4 linked regions of the Saccharomyces cerevisiae S288C genome follow. Changing the gene in region 3 together with the main gene of any one other region gives a genetic interaction. Each region holds a gene or a part of one and is shown on either strand. Other genes may lie near its edges.

What was found.
Region 1: of FOB1 (region 3) and PHO5, changing one suppresses a phenotype caused by changing the other (phenotypic suppression), as found in Saccharomyces cerevisiae (one study listed by BioGRID).
Region 2: of FOB1 (region 3) and AAT1, changing one suppresses a phenotype caused by changing the other (phenotypic suppression), as found in Saccharomyces cerevisiae (one study listed by BioGRID).
Region 4: of FOB1 (region 3) and PHO12, changing one suppresses a phenotype caused by changing the other (phenotypic suppression), as found in Saccharomyces cerevisiae (one study listed by BioGRID).

Annotation. Positions count from the first base shown.
Region 1 is NC_001134.8:428,168-432,610, forward strand, and holds PHO5 (acid phosphatase PHO5), read right to left. Parts: upstream 2,785-4,443; coding exon 1,381-2,784; downstream 1-1,380. Other genes in the region: acid phosphatase PHO3, read right to left, coding at 1-934; PBY1 (putative tubulin tyrosine ligase), read left to right, coding at 3,869-4,443. UniProt on the Saccharomyces cerevisiae protein: Partially mediates extracellular nucleotide derived phosphate hydrolysis along with NPP1 and NPP2.
Region 2 is NC_001143.9:235,697-240,082, reverse strand, and holds AAT1 (aspartate transaminase AAT1), read right to left. Parts: upstream 2,548-4,386; coding exon 1,192-2,547; downstream 1-1,191. Other genes in the region: SEG2 (Seg2p), read left to right, coding at 1-898; YKL106C-A (uncharacterized protein), read left to right, coding at 2,817-2,936; YKL107W (putative short-chain dehydrogenase/reductase), read right to left, coding at 3,013-3,942; SLD2 (Sld2p), read right to left, coding at 4,296-4,386. UniProt on the Saccharomyces cerevisiae protein: Plays a key role in amino acid metabolism. Important for metabolite exchange between mitochondria and cytosol.
Region 3 is NC_001136.10:674,273-679,182, reverse strand, and holds FOB1 (replication fork barrier binding protein FOB1), read right to left. Parts: upstream 3,082-4,910; coding exon 1,381-3,081; downstream 1-1,380. Other genes in the region: alanine transaminase ALT2, read left to right, coding at 1-942; YDR109C (putative phosphotransferase), read left to right, coding at 3,516-4,910.
Region 4 is NC_001140.6:549,519-554,213, reverse strand, and holds PHO12 (acid phosphatase PHO12), read right to left. Parts: upstream 2,116-4,695; coding exon 712-2,115; downstream 1-711. Other genes in the region: YHR214C-E (uncharacterized protein), read left to right, coding at 2,715-3,014; YHR214C-D (uncharacterized protein), read left to right, coding at 3,273-3,566.

The sequences.
Region 1 (4,443 bases), on a different chromosome or scaffold from region 3:
TGGCACCGACGGATCTGATCATATCATAACCTGGTCCATCCTGGTAAAACGATACCAGGTCCTGGCCGTATGAGTAACGTACCAATTCATCTTCGGTGAAGATATCACAAACATCACTGTAGCCTCTAGCGTTCAATTCGTATGCACACCATGCAAACAAAGTGTTGGCGTCCTTTGAGGTCAAATTCAAACCCTTGTTTTCTTTGTTTAATCTCTTGGCAATGTCATCCAAGTATGTGGTATCGTATTTGTCCAAAATGTCATCGTTAGCATCTTCATCCCATCCTGGGCACGCATTACCAGCACTCAAAGTGTTTGCGCCGGCGGACATGGCTTCACTGACAGTCTGCAAGGAGATGTTGAATTGGTCACCTAAACCATCAATGAAATATTGAGCAGTGTCATGAACCCTTTCAGAACTAGCGGCGAAAATTGGGAAACTGGTTTGATTTTCGAACATGTAGCCATATTGCGCTAAAAACTCACGAGCATGTCTCTTAGCATCCATCTCACCAGTGTATGGATTCAAAACATTGTCTGAGTTGGCAAAAGTGGTTTCCATTTCCAAATCATCGTCATCACGGATGAAAAACTCGTAATCATCGTTCAAGAATGACAATGAGCCGTTGAATTGACGTGTGTAATTGCTCAACTTATACCATGTTTTCATGATGGTAGCACCTTTACTGTAAGTTGGGTATCTTTCACCATGTCTGGCAAGCATTTGCAATTGTTTCATTTCACAACCTTCAGGCAAGTCACGAGAAATACCATAGTCGCCAGGGAAAGAGAAGTATGGCCCGGCACCACCCAGGAATGGGAATATGTCTTCCTGAGTGCCAATTTTGGCAACATCGGCTAACTCTCCGAGGGGAATTGTACCTGCATTAACTAAAGCAGCGGCTAGAACCGAATAAACAACAGACTTAAACATAGGTAATTTGGAATGGCCCTTTCTTTACTGTAGTATTTTTTTTATGATAATCAAGGCATAATTGACTTCCATCCAGCAAATTTAAGCACTTATATATGTTGCATAGGACTACTCAAAGCTGTTTACTATTTCCCAAACTGGTATTATTTAGTAAATTTCTTTTGAATTTTTTTTTTTTCACTCTTCCTTTTTTTCATTTTTGCGATGCCAGTTCTTTGAGTTTCCCTTATACGGCATATGCACTTAAGGTTTGATTTTGCTAATTAAAGGCGTGCCTAAGCGGCGACTAATACTGTAATATAATATGGGTTCCTGACTGACTACAGGGATTGAAACATCCATTTACCTGTTTCGGATATCTCTGCAGATTTTAATCTTTCGGCAAAATTTAGATAAAAAATTTGGGTATTCGTATTTAGTTTCCAATATTATTTAGTTATACAAAACTATTGTCTCAATAGACTGGCGTTGTAATGAGTAGTGTTCCAGTCCCAGTAGAAGGTCAATTCAGTAGAGTTACTGACGCTGCTGACGTTACAGACCTTTAGGAAGTCAGTACCGGCTACTCTCTTTTCAGCATAGTCGTAGAAGTCATTGATTTCACAAGAGAACCCTGGACCAGTGGAACAGGTTTCAATTGGAACAACAGCATCGTTAATGACGTATCTGACGTAGGTGTCGTTAGAACATTGGAATTTTTCGGTGTAGACACGAGCACCTTGAGGAACGTACCAGGATCTGTGGAAAGTGTTGCCCATGAATGGAACGTATTCGGCAGTTAAGTTGTTTTTGTCGTCAATTATACCAGCGGTGGTCAAAAAGTTTAGGATATCGGTATCGTGGGTAAAACTCAACCAAACCTTTTGGTCTTGAATCTCACTTTGCTTTAATAATTTGACTGAGGCATTGAACAAGTTGGAACCGACAGACTTGATAATGTCGTAACCTGGACCCTCATGGTAATAAGTGTGCAAGTCTTGGTAGTAGGAGTAATGGACTAATTCATCCTTGGTGAAAATATCACAGACATCACTGTAACCTTTAGCGTTCACTTCAAATGCACACCACGAGAATAAAGTACTAGCGTCAGTTGAGGTCAAGTTCAAACCCTTGTTTTCCTTGTTCAATCTCTTGGCAATGTCATCCAAGTAGGTTGTGTCGTATTCATTTACAATGTCATCATTGGCATCGTAGTCCCAAGCAGGACATGAGTTACAAGCACTCAAAGTGTTGGCACCAGCGGATTCAGCTTCACTGACAGTCTGCAAGGTGATGTTGAATTGGTCACCTAAACCATCAATGAAATATTGAGCAGTGTCATGACATCTCTTAGAATTAGAGGTAAAAACGGCGAAACTGGTTTGGTTTTCGACCATGTAACCGTATTGAGCCAAGAAGTCACGAGCATGTCTCTTGGCGTTCATTTCACCAGTGTATGGGTTCAAAACATCGTCCGAGTTGGCAAAAGTGGTTTCCATTTCCAAATCATCGTCATCACGGATGAAAAACTCGTAATCATCGTTCAAGAATGACAATGAGCCGTTGAATTGACGAGTGTAATTGCTCAACTTATACCATGTACTCTTGATAGTCTTAGCCAGACTGACAGTAGGGTATCTTTCACCATGTCTACCAACCATTTGCAGTTGCTTCATTTCACAACCTTCAGGCAAATCACGAGAAATACCATAGTCGCCAGGGAAAGAGTAGTATGGTCCGGCACCACCCAAAAATGGGAAGATATCTTTTTGGGTACCAATCTTGTCGACATCGGCTAGTTTGCCTAAGGGAATGGTACCTGCATTGGCCAAAGAAGCGGCTAAAATTGAATAAACAACAGATTTAAACATTGGTAATCTCGAATTTGCTTGCTCTATTTGTTGTTGTTCTTATTCTCATGAGAGATGAAGCCATACTAACCTCGACTTAGCAAAACATCAGCGCTTATATACGTTTCATTTCGACAATTCAAAGATGTTTACCCTTATCCCAAATGGGTATATGCCTTGCCAAGTAAGGTGACCAATTTGATAATTTGGCATGTGCGATCTCTTCGAAAACAGGGACCAGAATCATAAATTTAGTCTGTGCTAGTCCCACGTGTGAGTGCCAAGGTTGTATCGATTCATTTAGAGATTGCCTATTCAATTAACTCTTTTAATCACTTTTACTTTTTTTGGCATTGTGCAGTTGCGTTCTATGCGAAAACGTGCTAATTTAATATATATTTCTTTGTGCAGACAAAGAAAAAGCGCTATGAACCTTTTACCTTCGTTTGAAGTTTATAGACGACGTCCGCTTACATGAGAAAACATTAAAGCAGCGCACATAAGATGACTTCCAAATACGTTGACATATTTGCGCATTCTTGTTGAATACAACTTTCGGATCCTTGTAATGCCGGTCTCCGGCGTCCTGTAAAGAGAGCGTGCGACACGCCGCTATTAGCGTGGGGACTGACATCAGGTCAACATTATTATTGTAGCGAGCTACTTTCGGTCAGTAAATAGAACATATGTAGAGATACAAGCGATTATTAGAAGGAGCGGACCTACAACAAAGTTGGGTCACGTTTCTCGCAATTATTACTTGGATGCCCTCCTAGCTAATGCCAATGTGCAGTAGTAACTTATCAGTCCGATGTGTAAAAAATAGAACTAATTTTTTGCGAAAAGATGGACAAAAACCATCTCTGGTCAATTTTCTCACTAAAGAGGGACGGAGTCTCTTGTTTTCTTCTATTAGTGCACAGGGAATGTTTTGATTTTCCCTTTTTTTTTCTTTCGCTTCTTCAACAGTGGTAAAAATAAAAATTATTGGCGATGGGATAACCAAGGAACATTGTATTTAGCAATTGAAAATTACGGTAAAGGCAGCCGCTCTGACTTGATCTCTGACATTAAAAATTCGGAAACAATAAATATTTCTTTTAAGATGCGGGTTTTAATAACTAACGATGATGGTCCCTTAAGTGATCAGTTTTCACCATACATTAGACCTTTTATTCAGCACATTAAAAGAAATTATCCTGAATGGAAAATCACGGTTTGTGTACCTCATGTCCAGAAATCATGGGTGGGTAAGGCTCATCTTGCTGGTAAAAATTTGACAGCTCAATTCATATATTCTAAAGTTGACGCTGAAGACAATACTTTTTGGGGCCCATTTATCCAGCCACAAATTAGGTCAGAAAACTCTAAATTACCTTATGTTCTCAATGCTGAAATTCCGAAAGATACAATTGAGTGGATATTAATCGATGGAACTCCAGCATCGTGCGCAAACATCGGGCTGCACCTATTGTCTAATGAACCGTTTGATCTAGTACTGTCGGGTCCAAATGTTGGTAGAAATACATCTGCTGCTTATATTACCTCTTCTGGTACCGTAGGAGGCGCAATGGAATCTGTTATTACTGGAAATACAAAGGCCATTGCTATTTCTTGGGCCTATTTTAATGGATTGAAAAACGTCTCCCCACTTTTAATGGAGAAGGCCTCTAAGAGATC
Region 2 (4,386 bases), on a different chromosome or scaffold from region 3:
ACGTGGTAGTTCAAATGAGGCTACTCTTTCGCATAATATAGTATATCCAGCTTCTGACTCATCTTCATCCCCTCCATATCATAGCAAGAAGCCATCAAATCCTCCATCATCTGGCAACTTGGCTTCACACGAGGCGTCCAAGTGTTTTCCAAAAGCTCCTCAGGCGAGCACAACATCGAGACGATTGCCTGATCATGTCCCTCTATACATTGATAAAAATAATAGTGCACTCTACCCCAAAGAACCCCCCGCCAGGAAGTCTAGTTTTGAGAAGGAAAGACCTGCGAAGGATAACCTAGGATTTAGAAGCATGTCTTTGAGAGAGCCACTTATCACAAAGAATGCTACAGCCACAGCAGCAGAGAACCTGGATGTGGAAGAAAAGAAGGAAAAAGGAGGTCATGTCTCAAGAAAATCATGGACTTTTGGTTTGCCCTCTCCGCTGAAAAGGAGAACAAGTCATTCTACTCATACCACGAACGAAACAGAGATAGTTAATCCCATGACGAACTTCAAAAATAAGACCAACGAAAACGATATGCCAATATTAGCAAATAAAAAGAGCTGCAACAACGATGATTCTTCCCCTTACACTGCATCATCCATGAACACTAATGACGTAAGCGAAGCTGGTACAGAAGGCCACCGGTTTTCATTATTCGGAAATAAAAGCCAATTGTCAAATAGGAACATATCTGGTGGAACAGCCACTTTGGAGTCATCAAATCCTGACCTGCCTACAGCCTTACCATTAAGCGTTCCGGTGACTATCATTGATAAAAATGGAGAGATACACAAGCTTCATAACGATGATGCAGCTATAAAAGATAAGTCGCATGACCGTCACGGTCACAGTAAATTCGGTAGGAAACTGAAAAAAATTTTTGGCAGGAAATGATTTGAAAGAAGAAAACATAGGAAACCTAAAATGAAATGTAAGGATATGATGCACTGCCACCGTAATTAAAATAGTTGGCTAGCGCTAGCTTTCTTTTCATTTAAAATTTAATAACTAGTTCGATCACGAATTAATCCAATCTAGTTATCTGAAAAGTGTATATAGAGTAGATAAAAAAAAGGTTTATTAATTATTACAAAAAATTATTATATTCTATAAATTATTGTGTGGCAAAATGAGAAGGGAAAAGTAATAAAAAAATAAAGACAAAGGTGAACTGTAAGGTGAAAAAATTATGCGAGTTTGTCCATTTTCGAGACTGCTTCAAGAGATTCACATAAGTAATCAACGTTCGAATCATTGACTCCGCTAAGCGACAATCTACCATCACCTGTTAAATAGACGAAGTAATTGTTTCTCAATATTTCGACTTGCTTTGGACTAAACCTTGTATAGTAAAACATACCGTGCTGTTGTGCGAAATTTACAAGATCCGGCCACCCTAGACGGTCAAACATCTCCTGTCTGACGTGATGCAATCTCTGAACCATGAAATCAACATCCTTGAACCATTGCTGTTTCAATTTGAAATCTGATAATACTACATTTACCACACGAGAACCGTATCCTGGTGGAGAAGAATACATACCTCTGACAATCTTTTTTAATTGGGAGTCAATATTTTGCTGCAATGAGTTTTTCTGTTGTAGAGGGTTGAACTTTCCATTGTTCGCAGTTGCCGGCGTGATAACGCTTAAGGAACCAACTCGTTCACCATAAAGGCCCATGTTCTTGGCAAAAGATTGACAAAGAAAGATACCGTTACTCCAATTTGGATATTTATTTACATTGAGACATAGCCTCAATAAATATGCGTCCTTTAGTAAGTTACCAGACTCTAAACCCTGATAAGCCATATCAACAATGGGTACCATTTTTAGCTCATATATAGTATCTATAATCTTTTCCCATTGCTCTTTAGTTGGGTCGAGACCTGTAGGGTTGTGACAACACGCATGCAAGATTATGCAAGGTGGGTTCTTATTGTTTTCTTGCTGGTTGTTATATGCAAAGGTTTTCAATTGCTCAATCCATCCGTCGATGTCTATCTGACCGTCCTTATAATAGGAATACCGGTAAATATTTTCAAAACCATTGTTCTGAAAAATGTTCTTATGATTTGCCCATGATGGGTCAGGTATCCAAATATCTCTTGAAATAAATAATGCCAAGAATTTAGCTGCTACAGCTAGGGCGCCTGTACCACTCAAAGTCTGAACAAAGCTGATTCTATCATGGGCTAAATAAAATGGCCCAAACTGCGGACATGATTCCTTGAACAAAAATTTCATAACGTTTTCCTGAAATTCTTTGGAACCTGTTATTGGTAAATATGAAAGATTCTTATTCAACTCTAAATGAGATTCAATCAATTTTTGAGCTTTTGCAACGGAGGGAAACGTCGTCACTTTGCCCCAACCATCTTTATATATTCCTACGGTCAGGTCAATTTTGTTAACATTTTTTACCTTTTTGAAGTGTTCAGATAACCCCAAGACTTTATCTGGAGGTGCTCTTGGTACTCTACTAAGCGATGACGTGTAGTAGGGCCTCCATAGACTGCAATTAGTAAGCCTCGTCCTCAACATCAAGTCTTTCGGCAGTGAAAAACGGATAGTAATTTTCAAATGAGAAGGGAAAACGCACTCAATAGTATGCTATCGTTCAATCCGCTATCGTCTATTCTGTATTTTTTTTTTCTTTTCAATTGCGACGGTTAGCAATTAGATAACCAAGACAGAGAGAGCGAATACTTGCTAGCAATTTATATACGTAAGCGAAAAATGTAAAAAAAAATATGAAAAATGCGGCATCCTAAATATTGGAGCAAAGCAGAATAGTGCTTCCATACTCCAAGATGCCATTTCCGTCGATATTACATCTGACAATAGGAAGATATGCGAGCTATGACTCCAACAATCACATGAGACGGCGTGCAAAACTCATGGAAGCCATCTTCCGCATCCGAACAATATGAATCATCGACGATGGTCGCATGCAAACGCCCTTTAAAAAGTGAAATATTTAAATATAAACCAATTAGTTACAGCAAGTCATTCGTTACTGGAAGTGAAAGGACTTTGATTACGCAAGGCCTTTTCAACTAGAAGTTCCGAATTTTCCATAAACTTCTCAACAACATCTTTGGTCAAACCAGGCGAAGGTAAAATAGCATCGCCTTTGTTGCTGAACATTGTACCACTGCGTGATTCGATAGCGGGGCTCGCAATCAGGGTGCATATTGTTTTCGCATACGTCTCTGCGCTTTGACAGGTCCAGCTGATTATCCATTCTGTAATGCGGCTGAGGTAGGTGTCACTGCCAAGAAGATTATTACGAATGTTCGTTTTGATCAGCCCAGGGTTCAAACCGAAAGTATCTATATTCGTGTATCTGTCTTTAGCGTCTATGACCAGACTTTCATTGGCTGCCACAGTGTTCATATGTGTAGCGTAGGCACTATACTTCTTTTCATCAGAATTCAAGTCATCTGGGTCTCCCACCTGACCATTTCCTGGAAACCCTGCTATGAAAACTTTTGGCAAATCGTCTTTTTTTGTCCTACTAATTCCTAATCGCTTCGCCACATCATGGAAGATAATGTATCTACTCAAATAGCTCACTGCCATGTCTTTTTCCAAACCCTCACTTGTAGCTTGTCTCTGGCGTGATGCAAAAATACCCGTAGTGAAAATCAGATGTGTTAACTCCTCGTAGGGAATTTCATCACTATGAGATATACGCTTGCATTCTGACACTAAACTTAAATCAGCCTTGACAAAGTTAATTTTATCTTTTAGGTCCTCGTCCCTAAAAGTTTGCCCGACAACAGTAACCCTGGCATTTCTTTGGGCCAGCTCTCTACTTATTGCACGTCCAAGTCCACCTGTGCCACCAATTATGGCCACATTAAAACGACTAAAATCAATGTCATTGATATTTTTTCTTTCCCAACTGACGGTGGGATCCTTTTTCCAGAACATCCTGCTAAATGCGCCAATATACTATTATTAGTTTTTCCTTGATACGTGGTAATATTCTGTTTGTTGGTTCACCTTTTCATTCACTTGAATTGTTTTAAATTTTGTATTTATACCTCTGCCGATTATTCCTCCCCTAATTGATGATTGCAGATTATGTAATATATATACATATATGGACGAGGCCCCTAATTGAACAACAAAAATAAAAAGTGTAAAAACATGCTAGTCTCTATATTGATAAAAATACGTATGATGTCCATATAAACTATACGTCATGCAGCTGAAGGAATCTAACTGAATACTTAATAGGTTTCTATAAATTACAAATGTTTGTATTATTTACGCCATCACGCTCACCTTCTTCCCCATCGTCCATTAGAGAATCGGTTTTTCTTTGGCAGTTTTAGTCTTCTGAAGTTATTGCTCACTAGATTATACTTCTTT
Region 3 (4,910 bases):
CCAATTCCGCAGTATCCGCTTTATACTGCATCCGCATCTCTTTTCAATGCACAAGTGCTGCCATACTACTTAGATGAGGAGTCAAATTGGTCTACAAACAGCGACGAAATTGAAAAAGTAGTGCAAGATGCTTTGAAAAAACAGATCAGACCATCTGTGCTGATAGTTATTAATCCAGGTAACCCAACCGGTGCAGTTCTTTCTGAAGAAACCATTGCCAGGATCTGTTTGATCGCTGCGAAATACGGCATTACAATCATTTCTGATGAGGTCTATCAAGAAAACATTTTCAACGATGTTAAATTTCATTCGATGAAGAAAGTCCTAAGAAAATTGCAGCATCTTTATCCAGGAAAATTCGATAACGTTCAGCTCGCCTCTTTACACTCCATTTCTAAAGGATTCATGGATGAGTGCGGCCAAAGAGGCGGTTACATGGAAATTATTGGGTTTTCTCAAGAAATAAGAGATGCTCTTTTCAAACTCATGTCTATATCCATATGTTCTGTTGTCACAGGACAAGCTGTGGTTGATTTAATGGTCAAACCACCCCAGCCTGGAGACGAGTCCTATGAACAAGATCATGACGAAAGGCTGAAAATTTTTCATGAAATGCGTACGAGAGCAAACTTATTGTACGAGACGTTTAAGGAACTAGAGGGTATCGAATGCCAAAAACCTCAGGGTGCAATGTATCTTTTCCCTAGGCTTGTTTTACCTAAGAAAGCTCTTTGTGAAAGCGAACGCCTTGGCATCGAACCTGATGAGTTCTATTGCACATCTTTGCTAGAATCTACAGGTATTTGTACTGTCCCAGGGTCTGGGTTCGGACAAAGACCCGGGACTTATCATGTGCGAACAACGTTTTTGGCTCCAGGGACTAAATGGATTCAAGACTGGAAAGAATTTCATCAAGATTTCTTCAGCAAGTATCGTAATTGAATGAAAAAAAAAAACTAATGATAATGGCTTTCTATTTGTTTTGCATCCATGGTGGGGGTGAAGTTTAAATTTGTAATAGTATACATGCATCATTCTTTACTAAGGGAAATAAGGAAAAGTATATATCTGCCTCTTGTAATATTGTTCAAGGAAATAAATTTTGGAGCATTCCTCTGCATCTATTGTTCAATTAAAAAAAAAAAAAAAAAAAAAAAAAAAAAAAAAAAGTAATTATTCATATAAAACCACCTTGCGGGCAAGATCATATTATCCAAGTTGATACTTATTTAAAAATATAAAAATTTTTTAACCGCGTACATTAAATACAGGGTCATATACAGGAAGAGCTTTCAACACCTTTTTGAATACTTTATATGCAATAGGTGCTTTTTTTTTTCACCTATGGTGACTCCTCCTTTCATTCTATCCTACATATTATTACAATTCCATTGATGTGCCAAAGTCTCTTGTTTGATCTCCATTACCCTGTTGGTCTAATTTCTGTCGTTTTGTTGACGGCGATTCCAGAGTTTGATAGTAGGAAGTTTCTGGTCTAGTTATTTCGACACTTTGATCTACTTGTGATGCACCGTCACTTTCTTTTTGATCCCCTTTTTCAGGCTCTTCTGTTCCCTGCATTGGGGCTGCCACGCCGGTGGACTCTATTCGGTCCTCATCGACATTATGAGGAGGCTTTTCTTCGGGAGTTAAGGTATTAGGTTCAAATTCGCCCTCTGAAGAATCATGTGCCAAATCATCATACTCATCGATATAGTTTTTTTCAGTTAGATCAAATTGTTTTTGCACTTCTTCTTCAAAGTTATCATTTCCTATATTGTTATTATGAAGAATTCCATTATTGTTACAGCTATTATCCGCTTCATTAGCAAGGGCAAAAGTATTGACATCTTCCAAATATATAAGACCTTTTCCACCTGCCATCTTGAACATATTACGGGAATATGTGTTTTCTATAACCCTTTCTCTCTTAGTCTCAAACTTGGCATTGTGACCTGGAACTTCACTAAGTAGTACTTGCACAGGTTTACGTTTCGTTCTCTTATTTCTCCTTCGGTTGAATCTGTAAGGGCCATATCTTAGGCACTTACCCCAATCGGCTAGACATTCCTTCTTATAACTATTTAGAGCATACTGAATGCACAGTATACCCCCAGTATGAAATCTCGCAGAACTCTTCAAACCCAAGCCAATACGGAGACCGTATTTTGATGCAATTTCTTCACAAATATCATAAAGATCATCTTTATCTAAAGTGCTTGATGTTACGAAAATTGGAACCCTAGCAAATGTTAAAAAAAGTGAGGAAACAACTGGGATAAGATGTTTGAATTTGGTACTCTTAAGTGGTAATAACCACATAAAACTAGAGCGATAGTCTCGGCATAAAAGGACATAAGAATATTTTCCCTCAATAGCTTCTCCATTGAAGGGTTCGAATACCTCAATATGTATCCTTTCCATTGGTAGTAGTTTATCGTACATGTCAGGACGTTTATATTCCTTCAATGGTTTAATTTTGCCCTTTTTATTACATTTTGAACAAAATTGCTGGACCCAATCGATGATGGCATGACTAATATTGGCAAAATGAGAAAATAAAAAGGAATGTAATGTTTTACCCCTAAGATGCTTATTCATCAAGTGTGTTGCCATCACCATGTCGTATACATGCTTTGGCTCACAGTATATTTTATCATTATTTCGGCCATCTCTAACATTTCCTTCATCATCAACATAATACTGTCTTTGCAAAAATAACAGCTTGTTTTCTGCCACTACACCATCGTATTTATCACTTATTTGTTGCAAGGTATCTGCAGTTAAAGATTTTGTTTTTATTAGTTCATATATTTTCTGCGTTAGTTGTCTTGTCAGAGATTCAAGAAAGATTGGTGTTTCTCTTTCTCCCCTTTCCAATAATTCTAAGTTCAAATAAGAGTCTACGTACTCAGTATATGATTCCCCCATAGAGGGAAGTATCAGTAGACGATCTTTTGAGGACTCTCTTGATTCCCCAGGTGACGTTGCCTTTCTTCTCTGCGATTTCCTCGTAACTGATTCTGATGGTACCGAGTCATCATCATCAAACAACACGTCATTGTAACGCGGTTTCGTCATTGTTATCCTCAGCACAAATTCACACTCACACAATCGTTAAATTGTTCTCCCCCCTGAAGGCTTAATTCAATGTCGTTAAAATGAATACATGCGATGAGGAATCACCTCGCAATTTTTTTTTCTTTTCAATATATCGCGAAAAAGAAAAAATATCAGTATTATCATGTAAATAATTATGGCTGACACCTCATATTGAATGTGGGGGTAAAGATACTCTGGGTTTCTTGTTTTGATATATATAAGCTCTTCCTGGAAACCTCGATCACAATGTTAGGTATGATGAAGAAATTGAACCTTTATAACACCCGTTTGACTAAATGCTACAGACCAGTATTAGTAAATGTGGAAAGCTGCACACCCAGACCGCTGAGTACAATGAAAAGATGTAAAGAGACGAAGGAACAAACATCTGCAAAGTACATTATTAAGGCTATATGAAAAGCAGGAAACGCCAAAACAATATGCAAAATGAAACACGGGAGCCAGCGGTATTGTCGTCACAGGAAACCTCGATTTCTCGCATTTCTCCACAAGATCCAGAAGCAAAATTCTACGTTGGTGTAGATGTCGGAACAGGCTCTGCAAGGGCATGTGTTATCGATCAATCTGGTAACATGTTGTCGCTAGCAGAAAAACCCATAAAAAGGGAACAATTGATATCCAATTTTATTACTCAGTCTTCAAGAGAAATCTGGAATGCAGTTTGCTATTGTGTTAGAACTGTTGTTGAAGAATCAGGAGTTGACCCTGAAAGAGTTCGTGGAATTGGTTTTGATGCGACTTGTTCCTTAGTAGTCGTATCCGCTACCAATTTTGAAGAAATTGCAGTTGGACCGGATTTTACCAATAATGACCAGAATATCATATTATGGATGGACCATAGGGCGATGAAGGAGACTGAAGAAATCAACTCATCTGGTGATAAATGTTTAAAATATGTGGGAGGGCAAATGTCTGTTGAAATGGAAATTCCGAAGATTAAGTGGTTGAAGAACAACTTAGAAGCTGGAATTTTTCAGGATTGTAAGTTTTTTGACCTTCCGGATTACTTGACTTTCAAAGCCACGGGAAAAGAGAATAGGTCATTTTGTTCTGCTGTTTGTAAGCAGGGATTTCTACCAGTGGGTGTCGAAGGTTCCGATATAGGCTGGTCCAAAGAATTCTTAAATTCAATTGGGCTTTCAGAGCTTACGAAGAATGATTTTGAAAGACTGGGTGGATCGTTAAGGGAAAAAAAAAACTTTCTGACCGCAGGTGAATGTATCAGCCCGTTAGATAAAAAGGCTGCCTGTCAATTAGGCTTGACAGAGCATTGTGTAGTAAGTTCAGGAATTATTGATGCATATGCAGGCTGGGTAGGGACGGTAGCCGCCAAGCCGGAATCAGCAGTAAAAGGTCTTGCCGAGACCGAAAATTATAAAAAGGATTTCAATGGTGCAATTGGCAGATTGGCAGCTGTTGCCGGTACGTCTACGTGTCATATTTTGTTATCAAAAAACCCTATATTTGTCCATGGCGTTTGGGGGCCTTATAGAGATGTCCTTGCAAGAGGCTTTTGGGCGGCAGAAGGCGGCCAAAGCTGTACAGGCGTTCTTTTAGATCATTTAATAACGACGCATCCAGCTTTCACTGAGCTATCCCATATGGCTAATTTGGCAGGTGTGTCGAAATTCGAATATTTAAACAAAATACTTGAAACCTTGGTCGAGAAGCGCAAAGTAAGATCTGTTATTTCTTTAGCTAAGCACTTGTTTTTTTATGGTGACTATCACGGTAATCGATCACCGATAGCAGATCCGAATATGCGCGCTTGTATTATAGGACAATCT
Region 4 (4,695 bases), on a different chromosome or scaffold from region 3:
GGTAAAATGTATAAGCCCACGAAACTGAGAAAAAGCCACCAAGATTCTCCGGTTAAATGTTCAGCAAAAAACTTCCAGCCGAAATTTTTACCAAATATCAAATGGAAAAAGTCTTCACTATTTATACTTTTTTTTTTTTTTATTTTTTCGTTTTTATTTTTCCGCTTTCTTCGAGAAAAAGAGATGCGCGGCGTGCCTGCGCGGCGGTTACGAAAACCAATAATTTTGAATAAAAGAAGCACTGTAGAGAACAGACACGGTAGGATATATACTCATATGGATGTTCTTATATAATATCGCGCTCAACCGATCATTTATATATTATGTGTCACTATATCATCCTACAACATCCGCTCTGTTAATTAATTGCCCTATTCTTTCACATCATAACCCTACTCTTGCATCATCTCTAAACGACATTTCATGTACTTGCCCTGGACGCTATCTTAAAACATTTTACCACCTCATGTAACCCGCATGTCATGTCTATGGTATAAAATCATGGCTTTGCATATGCCTTACACGTATATTCATACTATCTTCGTCTTGCTAAAGAATAATAAAGTAATTGCGTACTGTGCCTTTGTATTTCCCTCTTTGGACTGTGTTTGTTGTTCCAACTTGGTACTTCTCGCAAGCAAAAGTCAAAATAAGAAAAAAATTAGCATTCATATTTAGTTTCTAAAATTACATAAATCATATTAGGTCTATTTACTGTTTTAATAAAGTGTCGTTGTAGTGCTTGGTATTCCAGTCCCAGAAAAAGGTCAATTCAGTAGAGTTACTGACGCTGCTGACGTTACAGACCTTTAGGAAGTCAGTACCGGCTACTCTCTTTTCAGCATAGCCGTAGAAGTCATTTATTTCACAAGAGAACCCTGGACCAGTAGAACAGGTTTCAATTGGAACGACAGCATCGTTGATGACGTATCTAACATAGGTGTCATTGGAACACTGGAACTTTTCAGTGTAAACACGAGCACCTTGTGGAACGTACCAGGATCTGTGGAAAGTGTTTTCCATGAATGGAACATGTTCGGCGGTCAAGTTATTTTGGTCATCGATTATGCCGATAGTGGTCAAATAGTTCAGAATATCGGTATCGTGGGTGAAACTCAACCAAACCTTTTGGTCCTGGACCTCACTTTCCTTTAGTAGTTTCACTGAAGCGTTGAACAAGTTGGCACCGACGGATCTGACGACGTCATAGCCTGGTCCCGTTTGATAATAAGTTTCCAAGTCTTGGCCGTAGGAGAAACGGACCAATTCATCTTTGGTGAAGATGTTACAGATGTCACTGTAACCTCTAGCGTTTATTTCATATGCACACCATGCAAAAAAAGTGTTTGCATCACTTGAAGTCAGATTCAAACCCTTGTTTTCCTTGTTTAATCTCTTGGCAATACCACTCAAATATTTGGTATCATATTTTTTCAAAATGTCATCGTTGACATCATCGTCCCAAGCAGGACACGAATGGTGGGCACTCAGAGTATTGGCACCAGCAGACTCGGCTTCACTGATGGTTTGCAAGGATATGTTGAATTTATCACCCAAACCGTCAATGAAATACTGGGCAGTATCATGACATCTGTTCGAGTTAGACGTAAAAACGGCAAAACTGGTTTGGTTTTCGACCATGTAGCCATATTGCGCCAAGAAATCACGAGCGTGTCTCTTAGCATTCATCTCACCGGTATATGGGTTCAAAACATTGACCGAATTGGCAAGTGTGGTTTCCATTTCTAGGTTTTTGGTGTCACGAATGAAAAATTCGTAGTCATCGTTCAAGAAAGACAATGCTCCGCTGAATTGACCGGTATAGTTACTCAATTTGTACCACGTTGTCATGATACTTTTGGCTTTGCTGACAGTGGGGTATCTTTCACCGTGTCTACCAACCATTTGCACTTGCTTCATTTCACAACTTTCCGGCAAATCACGAGAAATACCATAATCACCAGGGAAAGAGTAGTATGGCCCAGAACCACCCAAAAATGGGAAAATTTCCGTTTGAGTTCCGATTTTGTCAATGTCAGATAACTTTCCGAGGGGTATGGTACCTGCATTAACCAAAGAAGCGGCTAAAATTGAATAAACGGCTGACTTCAACATTGGTATTTCTGATGATGTTCTTGCTCTCTTTGCTGTTGTTGTTCCTCTTCTTCTTCTTCTTCTTCCTACTTTACAACCAAGGCGAAACTGAGCTTGAATCTATCGAAATGTAAGAGCTTATATACGTTTTACTTGGCAATTCGACGCTGTTTATGCTCATTCCAAAACGGGTATAACATATCTGGTGAGATGACCAATTTGGCAATGTGACGTGCGGAATATGGAATCTCTCCGGTAAACAGGGTCTGAAATTCTGTGTAATTTGCCTTTTTAAACCCACGTGTGAACGCCAAGATTGTGCGGCTTCGTTTAGGGATGTGTTCTGTTTTCTATTAACTTTTTACTCTTTCCTTCCTATTTCCTTTTTTTTTTTTTTTTTTTAGTACACATGAACTACAGAATGTTATGCGAAAACGTGGTAATTTAATAAATACGTGACACAGCGTATAAGAAAAAGCTTATCAAGGTTATCTCTGTCATTAAAACTTTATTAGACACCCACGATGAATGAAACGATGAAAGTAGATATAAGAAGTAGTCGGAAGTGAGAAAGAGAAAATGATAAAAGAACGAAAAAATCCCTTTATTTTCTCATCTTGATGTATAAAATAACTACTATATATTTGTGGCTGAAATCATACCTTTCATTTTTCATCGGCTTAGATAATCTTGATTTTCTCACCTTAATACGCTTTTTTCAATGTCGTTTACAAAACAAGCTAGGTTTGCAAGATATCCTGGACTTTTTTTGTAATCTATGTGGCCACAGTATGGTTCGCACTTGCAACATGGTAGAGGCTGCCCAAAAACAAAACCGCATCACCTTTGGCAGCATTTACGTGAAACTCCATCCTCTTGTCAAACTTTGCACAGGAATCGTGTGGGCCCCACGAGTGTGAACCAGTAATTACATGTGCGGCTCTATTGGCATTGTTCATATCTGTAAAAGCAACTCCTGCTCCCAGTACCGTTTCTTTCCGTATTGGAAACGGTCACAGCACCGGTCTTGTAGACAATACCCGAGTTTAGCTAAATGTCACTTGGGCACTTTCTAATGACATTTCCAGCCAAAAGAAGTAATTTTGCTCATTTAAAAAAATAGTTTGCCATATCACAAAACAGTCGGTCGGATAATATCTCCTTCCAACAGTAGGAGAATGGAGGACCACACCCTTGTGGCCATCGTTGTTTTCTTTGGGAATGGTGAACCTTTCCATGTGTCGTTGTCTGTAGAAATGGTGTTCGTGCTGCTTCTTTCATCCACTAGAATTCATGAGGTAGTAGTTCTTATATGTTATAAACTTCAACACGCCACCTGGTCTTGGGGTAATATGAGCAAGAATTTCTCTCTTAAACCGGATATAAGTCTGAGCTTTCTGTTGGATATAATTTCTATAAATGATATATGCATCTACGGTTGCATTGCCCTTACAGTTGTGTTTATTTTATAAATCTACGTTTAGTATAAGAAAATTGTATTGTCGAGTCTTAGCTGAGTTCATATTTATTCAAAAAATTGGCCTAAATGTTATGTCTCTTTCTCGATCCATGAATTATTAGCAACACCGAGAATTGCAGCAGTGATGCTTCACATTAATGCATGTTCCTCCCTGTTGCCTTTTGGTAAAGTCATGGGCATATGATTACTCCGGGCGTCGCGCGGCTGAAGGCGTCTAAAATAAAATGTTCAAAAATGATATTAACTTTCTTATATATCTTAGACCTGCTATTTCTTTCTTCTTTTTTTTTTATTTTGTATTCAATTGGTTTTCACTTTCTCGAAACGCAAGGCTTAAATAAATCAAGGACAGATTCGATAGCTTCTTTTGGGACAGTCAGCTCTTCAGAGGTAATTGCATGACTTCATGATTCGCGGAATACGAAATGAAAAGGGAGGTCCGTTTGAGGTAACTCAGTTCTTTACGAATCACATGCAATATTCAGGGTAAAAATCCAAGTTATCTAATTTTTTTTAAACTACCTTTTTCTTTTGTACATCACGTTTCACTATATATTCTACTACATCTATTTTCGGCCCAAAACTACAGCATTTGCAGAAACAAAACGACGCTTTCTGTTCCTGCTGATAGTATTCATGACACATTCCATATTGCATGTTGCATTTAAAACGAAGGGCCAAGCCATGGTCATGTGATTTCCATGTGCGGCAACTTCAAGACTTCTTCTTTTGGGCATAGGAAGACATTAAAAATATTATTTATGCATTATTCTTATGTCGGCTAATAGATTCAAAGAAACCCACGAAAAATTTACCGACCGCGAGAAATAAAAGTAAATGAAAAAAAAAAAAAAAAAAAAAAAAAAAAAAAAAAAAAGAAGAATGTGTCTATCTTCATAATGGTGCCTTCGCTAAACCATCTTTTCTGACGCTTTATAGTTCGAACACAGCATTCTTCAACCGCGTAAAGTTAAAATCACTTGAATGTTTACACTGACGTTTTGTTGGAATAAAAATCCACTATCGTCTATCAACTAATAGTTATATTATCAATATATTATCATATACGGTGTTAAGATGATGACATAAGTTATGAGAAGCTGTCATCGAGGTTAGAGGAA